Linked DNA regions of Mus musculus. Each later gene encodes a partner of the first gene's protein in a complex. Links are inferred from orthologs where the notes say so. Each region holds a gene or a part of one and is shown in the gene's direction. Other genes may lie near its edges. The genes, in order: Tada3 and Taf6l.

Region 1 (4,584 bases):
AAGTGAGACTTGTGGCAGAGAAGAGGCACAGGCTGCGTGGGGCAGCGGAGACAAGCACAGGATCACGGACAGACAAACATCAGACAGAGGGGATAAAGGCTAAAAAACAGCTGTCATGTAGTTCAGCAGTGGGTTCTAGCTCCATACCACAGCATTCTCTTATGTCAACCAAGAAGAGGCAAAACCGGAAAGGCAAAATTAGTTGTGTGCGGTGACAAGTACCGTTGGGAAAGTGATAGAATATTCTTTTCTCTACCTCGATTGTGGCTACCTGATTATTTTGTCAAGGTTCATTGAAAGAAAACTAAATTTTAGATGACCAGCCCTGTGATAGTTACCCTTTAGTGGCTTGAAGAAATTGTACAATAAACTTGAATGCTTAAAAACGCAAAGTCAAAACTCAGTCAGCAGGAAATGGCTTTCACGCTAAGGAATGAAACCAGTTAGGACTAACACTGGAGCAAGCTTTAAAAAGTGACTTTTGAAAAAGAGGGTCTAATTTCAAAGTCTCTTCCCTGAGAGCATTCCCGGGCGTGCAACAAGCAGTCCAGCCTTTAGAACTCAGGTCGTCAAGGGCTGACCAGAGAAAGTAGTGGGAAGCCTGGGACCTTTCGGAGAACAACTGCACGGAGCACCCACAGATCCCAAACCCGAGCATGAAAGAGGAGGACCAGCGGCCATCAACATTTACACACGTTAAGGTCAACACGGTTCTGCACATCTAGGAAGGAGTCTGAATGCAGGCAAGCAACACAGAACCTTCATTGGGAGCTGGAAGGCAAGGCTTCCAGGAAGCGCCAAGAAGTAAGAAGATGAAGTGGACACTTGCCTCGAGGTCCCGTGAGACCGCGAAGGCAGGCAGGGACAGGGGGTTGTACTTAGCCAACCTCTACCGTGGACGGAGAGGAGGCCCCGCAGAGCGGTCCTACCTCAGCTGCAAGCCACCACCACGGGCTTCGCAGCCCGGTCTCCTGCCCCCTCCGAACATCGGGGAGAGGTCATTCTAGCCCGGGATTCCCAACCTGGAAGCTTCCGGGCCTGCTCTTGCTCAGAGAGCCTCCTGGCTCGCCCCTTCCTCCTCGCCTCGGCCCTCGCCCCACCCTTTGCCTCTCCATCCTCCCCGTGCCTCCTCATCCCGGGGCAACCTCGGGCCGCAAGCCCTAGCGGCAAGCAGCATCTCCCCCAGACCCACAGCCTCTACAGGCAAAACACAGGGAGGACCCCAACCCCTGGTCTCTCACCATCGCGGGCGCTGTCTGGGCCGGAAAGCGGAAGTGCGGAAGTGCCCGGACCCGCGACGCCTGCCCTTTCGAGAGAGGCGCAGCCGCAGTCTCCGACAGCACTTCCGGGCTGGACCATCTCGGGTAGGACCGGGGAGGGAGAGCCGAGAGATATTCAGATCTCCGGGGCGATTTCACACTGGGACCTCTGGGACTTGTAGAAGACCTGCTATGAGACAGTAGCGGTCGAGTCCCCTTGGATCGCTACACATATTCCGCCAGCGCCTTTAGTGCTTGTCGCTTTGGTTGTAGCCTCCCCCCGTGTGACAATAGTACAGCCCGACCTCAGGTTGGGCACCAAATTAGGACAGGCCGAACCGGAGAAACGTTTCTTCCGGTGGTGCTCCCCTATCCTCTCCGGGCTCCTCCCATTTGCAACCGTAGGGTTCGGCCGGGTAGCCAGTCCCTTGAGATTTGGGCTCTGGGCCCCACCCCAGCCCCGGGCTGCTTCCTAGCCCGGGACTCCTCAGGCCTAGCATTCCACCTCCCGGAGATTCGTAGGTGGCCTTAGACCCCCACCCCCACCCCGGCCCTACAGGCCACCTTGGGCTGGCCGTCCCCGCCCTCGCGTCAACTGCAGGGGGCCCGCCCATAGCCAGTTCCGGAGCAGTTGCTCCGATCGCCCTGAACTCCCCGCCCCCTCCTGCGGCCCAGGGCCTGTAGGAGGCCGCAGAGAGGAGGTAGGAGAGGCGGGGGTTGTGTTAGGGGCTCCCTAGAGGACGAGGACCCTGGAGGCGGGATCTTGGGGCGACACACAGGTGGAGCCAGCCATTAAGCAGTCCCACTTCTGTGCCAGGCACTGAACTGGGCACTTGACGAGCATCACCTCTTAATCCTCAGAACATTCCAGGGAGGTAGGTAATTCTCGATGCCCCCATTTTACAGATTTATACTTCTTAATGGGGAAATAGACTGAGGCATCATCTTTTGTCCTGGAAAAAAGAAAAACAAACAAACAAACAAACAAAAACCGGAGATTCAGGTTAAATAACATGTTTAGAAACGCACATAAGAAAATGGGCTGGAACTTAGTTCTGTTCACCTGACCAGCCTGTGTTCCAAACTAGCCAGGGACACAGAGAAGGTGCAGAGGTGGAATGGAGTGAGACAAGAGGAGGCAGGGAGAACCCTGTCAAATAGAATGCTAGAAACGACCCAACGTAGGGAAACAGAGGACATAGGAAGACAGGGCACACTAGTATCTCCTCTTCCTTAATGCTGCAGATTCCAGACTTCTGCGGTTCAAATTGCAACTAGGAGGCCGGCCTAATCATGCAGGTTTGTACACCTAGTGACTTGGGAGGCTAAAGCAGGTGGATCATAAGTTCAAGGCCTGGAATTCATGAAAGGGGGGGGGGGCTGGATGTAACTGTAACATAATTAAGTTTGGAGAATTTGTGCCTAGAATGAACAAGCGCTTGTATAAATCAGGTGTGGTACATGCCTAAAATTCCATCTCTTGGGAGGTGGAGACAAAACCTTGGCTACATAGCTAGTTTGAGACCAACCTGAGTGCATATCTTTATCCCAGCACTCAGAGGCAGGTGCTTTCTGGGGTGGGGGTCGGGAGGGGGAGCTCTATGAATCCTGATCTATGTAGCAAATGAGTATCAGGCCACTCAAGACTACATAATGAGATTTTTGTCTCCCCCACCCCAAAATGGGGGTGAGGTAGGGTCTGGAGATGTGTGAGACCCTTCAGTGCTACCAAAACAAAAAAAGACAATAAATTGCAGTTAGGAGTCTAGGCATGTGTACATACTCTTCTGGAGTCTTTTTCCTTTCTTTGTCAAAAGAAAGAAACCAGGCAGTGGTGGCACACGCCTTTAATCCCAGTAGAGGCAGGTGATCTCTGAATTGAAGGCCAGCCTGGTCTATAGAGTTCATTCCAGGCCAGCCAGAGTTGTTATACAGAGAAATTATGTTGAATGAATGAATGAATGAATGAATGAATGAAAAGCATGGCAAAAGGCCCCCCTTTTAAGGTTATGTGCATAATTCAGTGAAGTCAACCTAGCTTGGGGTACAGTCAGGGCTCTGTTGGGTCTCTCTCCCCATGCTACTTTGTCTCCTATCCAATGGCCTTCTCCCCTCTAATTTTACAGGGTCCCACCTCCTGGGCCATGAGCGAGCTGAAGGACTGTCCACTGCAGTTTCATGACTTCAAGTCTGTGGACCACCTGAAGGTCTGTCCCCGCTACACGGCAGTGCTGGCCCGCTCCGAGGACGATGGCATTGGCATTGAGGAGCTGGACACCCTGCAGCTGGAGCTTGAGACTCTGCTGTCCTCTGCAAGCCGGAGACTGCGTGTACTGGAAGCTGAAACCCAGGTGATTGTCCATGGGGGGCATCCACTAGAGACATTGTGTCAAGTTATGGGATGGATCCTTAGGTTCCCTCTCTGCTGAGGCCCAGGGATGGATGGGAAGAGAGACCCACATGGGAATCATGACAGAATAGTTAGCTCTCAGTTCAGCTTACCGTTAGCCAAGGATGCTATCCGACTGTAGGTGGACACCGCCCACGTGTGGCCCCTGAAGTTGCCTGGGAACTTTCTGAGATGCACTGTGATACAGTCAGTTGCATAGACAGAACCACCGGGTGCCTTGGAGTGTGACATAAAGGTTAGCTGGGAGTCTTGTTCACCACCACCAAAAAACCCAGCAGCAGCAGATTTCCCCAGGACTACCATGCCAAACCGTTTGTGACTAGCTTGGGCGGCAGCAGAAGTGAATCAGAATGTAGACCTCCGGTTAAATTCATGTGAGAAAATCACAGAGAAGAACAGGCATTTTGAAATATGAGTAGTTTGCTTAATAACCTCAAATTCTAGATCTCAGTTATCCATGGCGGGGAAAGAAGTGCCCTGTCTCTTCTCTCCGTCTCAGGGGTTGTCTTTGTGTGTTTCAGATCCTTACTGACTGGCAGGATAAGAAAGGGGACCGACGATTCCTGAAGCTAGGTCGCGACCACGAGCTCGGTGCTCCCCCCAAACACGGAAAGCCCAAGAAGCAGAAACTGGAAGGGAAGACAGGACATGGGCCAGGCCCTGGCCCGGGACGACCCAAATCCAAAAACGTCCAACCCAAGATCCAGGAATATGAATTTACTGATGACCCAATCGACGTGCCTCGGATCCCCAAGAATGATGCTCCCAACAGGTTCTGGGCCTGAGCACGTAGCAGGGAGCTGGAGGGGCCCAGAGACTTGTGGTGGAGGCTTGGAAGGCCCGGGGCTAAGGCTGAAGGAGCATCTCACCCACTCCGGGTCTGCTTCTGCCTGTAGGTTCTGGGCCTCTGTGGAG
Region 2 (3,809 bases), on another chromosome or scaffold:
AAAGGCAAGCAAACAAGCAAGCAAACAAACAAAAACAGTTGCCCACACACTTGTACATGCTACGGCCCGTGTGTGAAGGTAAGAAACGCTTTGAGTATGGTGGTGGTGGCACATGCCCTTAGTTCCAGCACTTGAGAGGCAGCGGCAGGCAGATCTCGGTGAGTTCTGGGACAGCCAGAGCTGTTACACAGAGAAAACATGTCTTCTGGAAACTTGTTAGCTCTCTTCTACTTACTCATGGTTTCTGAGATTTGAACTTAGGTTGATGGCTGTGTGCCACAGGTGCTTTTACCAAATTGAACAATCTCATTGTGTCCACCTTCCTCGTTTGAAAAGAGGGTCACGTTGGCTTTAGACTGGCCCTCCACCTGCCTCCTGTGCCACACCTAGCCCTGTGGCTGCTTTTTCTTTTAAATAGACAGTACTGTTTTTGTCTGTGTCTCAGTTTCTTTTTTTTTTTTTTTTTTTTTTAAAGATTTATTTATTATTATATGTAAGTACACTGTAGCTGTCTTCAGACACACACAAGTCAGATCTTGTTACGGATGGTTGTAAGCCACCATGTGGTTGCTGGGATTTGAACTCTGGACCTTCAGGAGAGCAGTCGGGTGCTCTTACCCACTGAGCCATCTCACCAGCCCTGTGTCTCAGTTTCTTAAGGTTAAAAACAGTGGAATTTCTGTTTTTATTTTGTTTTGTTTTTAAAGGTTTATATATTGTTAAATGTAAGTACACTGTAGCTGTCTTCAGACACACCAGAAAAGGGTGTCAGATCTCATTATGGACGATTGTGAGCCACCATGTGGTTGCTAGGATTTGAACCCAGGACCTTCGGAAGAGCAGTTAGTGCTATTAACCACTAAGCCATCTCACGATACCCTTTTTTTTGGGGTGGGGGGGTTGGGGGGCGATAGTTCGAGACAGGGTTTCTCTGTGAGTTACCCTGGCTGCCCTGGAACTCACTCTGGAGACCAGGCTGGCCTCGAACTCAGAAATTCACCTGCCTCTGCCTCCCAAGTGCTGGGATTAAAGGCATGTGCCATCATGCCCAGCTCAGCGGAATTTCTGAATCAGGGCATGAACATTTAACATGATAATACGTGGATCCTAACCTAGCCTCCAGAATGGTGGCTTTTCCTTTATTGAGGTGGTTCCTTTCAGGTTGCCCTCCAGGACCTCCAGACAAACTCCAAGATTGCAGCACTCCTGCCTTACTTTGTTTATGTGGTCAGTGGGGTAAGTGATCAGTTCTCTAGCGATCTCTATGACCCTTCTCTGTTTAGGGCTCATAGCAGATTCTTCGCAAGCTCCTGTCTCTCCATGCCACCACAAGCCATCCTCTCCTACCAACAGGTAAAATCTGTAAGCCACGACCTGGAACAACTGCACCGACTACTGCAGGTGGCAAGGAGCCTGATACGGAACCCACACCTGTGCTTGGGACCCTATGTCCGATCCTTGGTGGGCAGCGTGCTTTACTGTGTCTTGGAGCCACTGGCCGCCTCCATCAACCCTTTGAATGACCACTGGACTCTGCGAGATGGGGCTGCCCTTCTACTCAGTCACATATTCTGGTAGCCACTGGGTTCAGGCTGAGCAGAGGGTGGGATAGCCTACAGAGTTGATTGGGTTGTGGTAGGGAGCTGTAGGAAGCCTTTGGCTTTTAAATTAAATGTTACATGTGGAACTTTTCCTTAGCCCCCTAGCTGACATGTCATGGTACAGTTATAAAGATAGCAAGATATTAGTCTTTTGTCCCTTGGATCCTGGGCCAGTCACATCTGGCAGCCTGTCTCAGAGATGTCTACAAATGTCCAACTCTTTATGTGTGGTACTTCATTCTCCTTCCTGACTGTTGCTTCCACAGGACGCATGGAGACCTTGTAAGTGGCCTGTATCAGCAGATTCTGCTGTCCCTGCAGAAGGTCCTGACAGACCCTGTTCGGCCTCTCTGTTCTCACTATGGGGCAGTGGTGGGGCTGCATGCTCTAGGCTGGAAGGTGAGGACTCTGGCTTTCTCTCAGACCTTTGAGAGTGGCTGTGTTACAAAGCTATCATTCACGTGTATTTTATTGTAAAAGTGGTGTGTGTTTGATTCTGCCATGTTGAGACCTTGCTTTAGGCCCTGTTTATTGTATACCTTCCTTGACTATGTGTAAATGTTTTCCCTTCAGAACATTTTCTTTTTTAAAATCCCTGCCCATTTCATAACACTATGTTAGGAAATACCCTCAGTTTCTTCGTTCCTCTCCTTTTCTCTTTGGGTTTTCATTTATTTGAGGCAGTGCTTGTTATATAACCCTTACCGGCCTTCATCAGTTTGTGATCCTCTTGCTTTATGCACCACACAGCATCAGTTTCTGTTGTGTATTTTATAGCAAATAGTAACTTAGCATCCATAGAGATCATCAGATGATTATGTGTCTTAATTCTGTTAATATGACTATGTCCACTGAGCCACTCTTTGAAACTTGGACTAATTCTATTTGTTTCATTTTGAAGAAAAAAAAAAAAAAAAATATATATATATATATATATATATGAAAAGGTTTTAGGGACATATCAAGTGATCTTGACTATGTCATGTTTCCATTTTTTTAAAAAAATGCTCACACTCTTTAGGGTGCTTTCATATTGTTCTAAGGAGAACCAACACACTTTATTTCTGCAGTGACGCTGCTATAGTGCTATAGTCTTTTTAGGGTTGCTCCTTGTTGGTATGCAGAAATATAGTTGGTATGTGTGTGTGTTTTAAGCTCAGGGACAATTTTAGTAGAGTTTAAAAGAAAACATCTTAGGGCTGGCAAGCTATAAATCTAAGAAGCTGCTCAGAGGTGGAAGTTGAAGGAAAGAAGAAAAAAAGCCATGCCATTTGAGCTAAACAGGCGAGGGATAGTCAGCCATAAGGTGGGGAGAGGTTTTAAAGAAGGAGTGAGAAAAAGCATCTAGAAATAAAAGAGACAAACCAAAATCATCCCCCCCCCGCCCCCCCCAAAAAACCAAACCAAAAGTGTTTTGCCTTACGACCTTAATCCCAGCAGAAGCAGGCAGATCTCTGAGTTTTGAGGCTGTCCTATCCTACAGAGTGAATTCCAGGATAGCCAGGGTTACACAGAGAAACTTTCCTTAGCCCCTAACTCCCTACCCTTCATTGTTGGGATTAAAGGCTTGAGCCACCATGCTTGGTTTTTTAAAAACAAAAACAAAAACAGGGACTTAAAAGTGAAGCCCAGGCTGGCCTCAAACTTGGACTCAAGCTCCTGAATGCTAGAGTTACAGGCTACCTCATTCTCAAAGTCTACCTCATTTACTGTTAAGATAGCTTTGCTTTGCTTTTTTCCACCAAGTGTACTTTATTGAATCTGCTGTGAACTGATCTGTGAAGGTAACATTTGCATGCATAGGGTAAAGGGTCAAGGCCTCAGCCTAAGGGGAGGGCCAGATGTGGATAGTGGAACACAGGGCAGCTAGAATCTAGAATGTGGCATTCTTTGTAAAAATGAAAGACTGCCACAGAGGTGGTAGAGGAAATAATGATAATAATGATAATAACCATAAGGATGCTGAAGATTCAGGCACTTGGCCTGGTCTCCAGTCATCTCGCCCACCATCTTCCTGTCCCTGGACTTCACAGAGTAGGCATAGGCAATGAAGCCCAGGCAGCAGCATTGAAGAGTGCATTGAACAGGGACCAGACCACATGGTCAGACACAGAACTGGGTGTGTTGATCACAGTGGTCCTCACAACAGCTGAGTTGTTGAGGAGTTCCCCGAGTTCAGTCACCTTTTTTGATTGTCTCATAGCTTGG

Evidence for each region.
Region 2: Tada3 (region 1) and Taf6l share a complex: the UniProt entries of both Homo sapiens proteins name them as parts of the STAGA transcription coactivator-HAT complex. The link is inferred for Mus musculus from reciprocal best matches to the Homo sapiens genes TADA3 and TAF6L.

The regions. Positions count from the first base shown.
Region 1 is NC_000072.6:113,374,866-113,379,449, reverse strand, and holds the start of Tada3 (transcriptional adapter 3), read left to right. Parts: upstream 1-1,611; 5' UTR 1,612-2,134; intron 2,135-2,504; 5' UTR 2,505-2,552; coding exon 2,553-2,558; intron 2,559-3,385; coding exon 3,386-3,610; intron 3,611-4,190; coding exon 4,191-4,441; intron 4,442-4,565; coding exon 4,566-4,584. Other genes in the region: Arpc4 (actin-related protein 2/3 complex subunit 4), read right to left, coding at 1,242-1,244. UniProt on the Homo sapiens protein: Functions as a component of the PCAF complex. The PCAF complex is capable of efficiently acetylating histones in a nucleosomal context. The PCAF complex could be considered as the human version of the yeast SAGA complex.
Region 2 is NC_000085.6:8,776,278-8,780,086, reverse strand, and holds part of Taf6l (TAF6-like RNA polymerase II p300/CBP-associated factor-associated factor 65 kDa subunit 6L), read left to right. Parts: intron 1-1,161; coding exon 1,162-1,236; intron 1,237-1,353; coding exon 1,354-1,574; intron 1,575-1,867; coding exon 1,868-2,000; intron 2,001-3,124; exon of another isoform or gene 3,125-3,809. UniProt on the Homo sapiens protein: Functions as a component of the PCAF complex. The PCAF complex is capable of efficiently acetylating histones in a nucleosomal context. The PCAF complex could be considered as the human version of the yeast SAGA complex.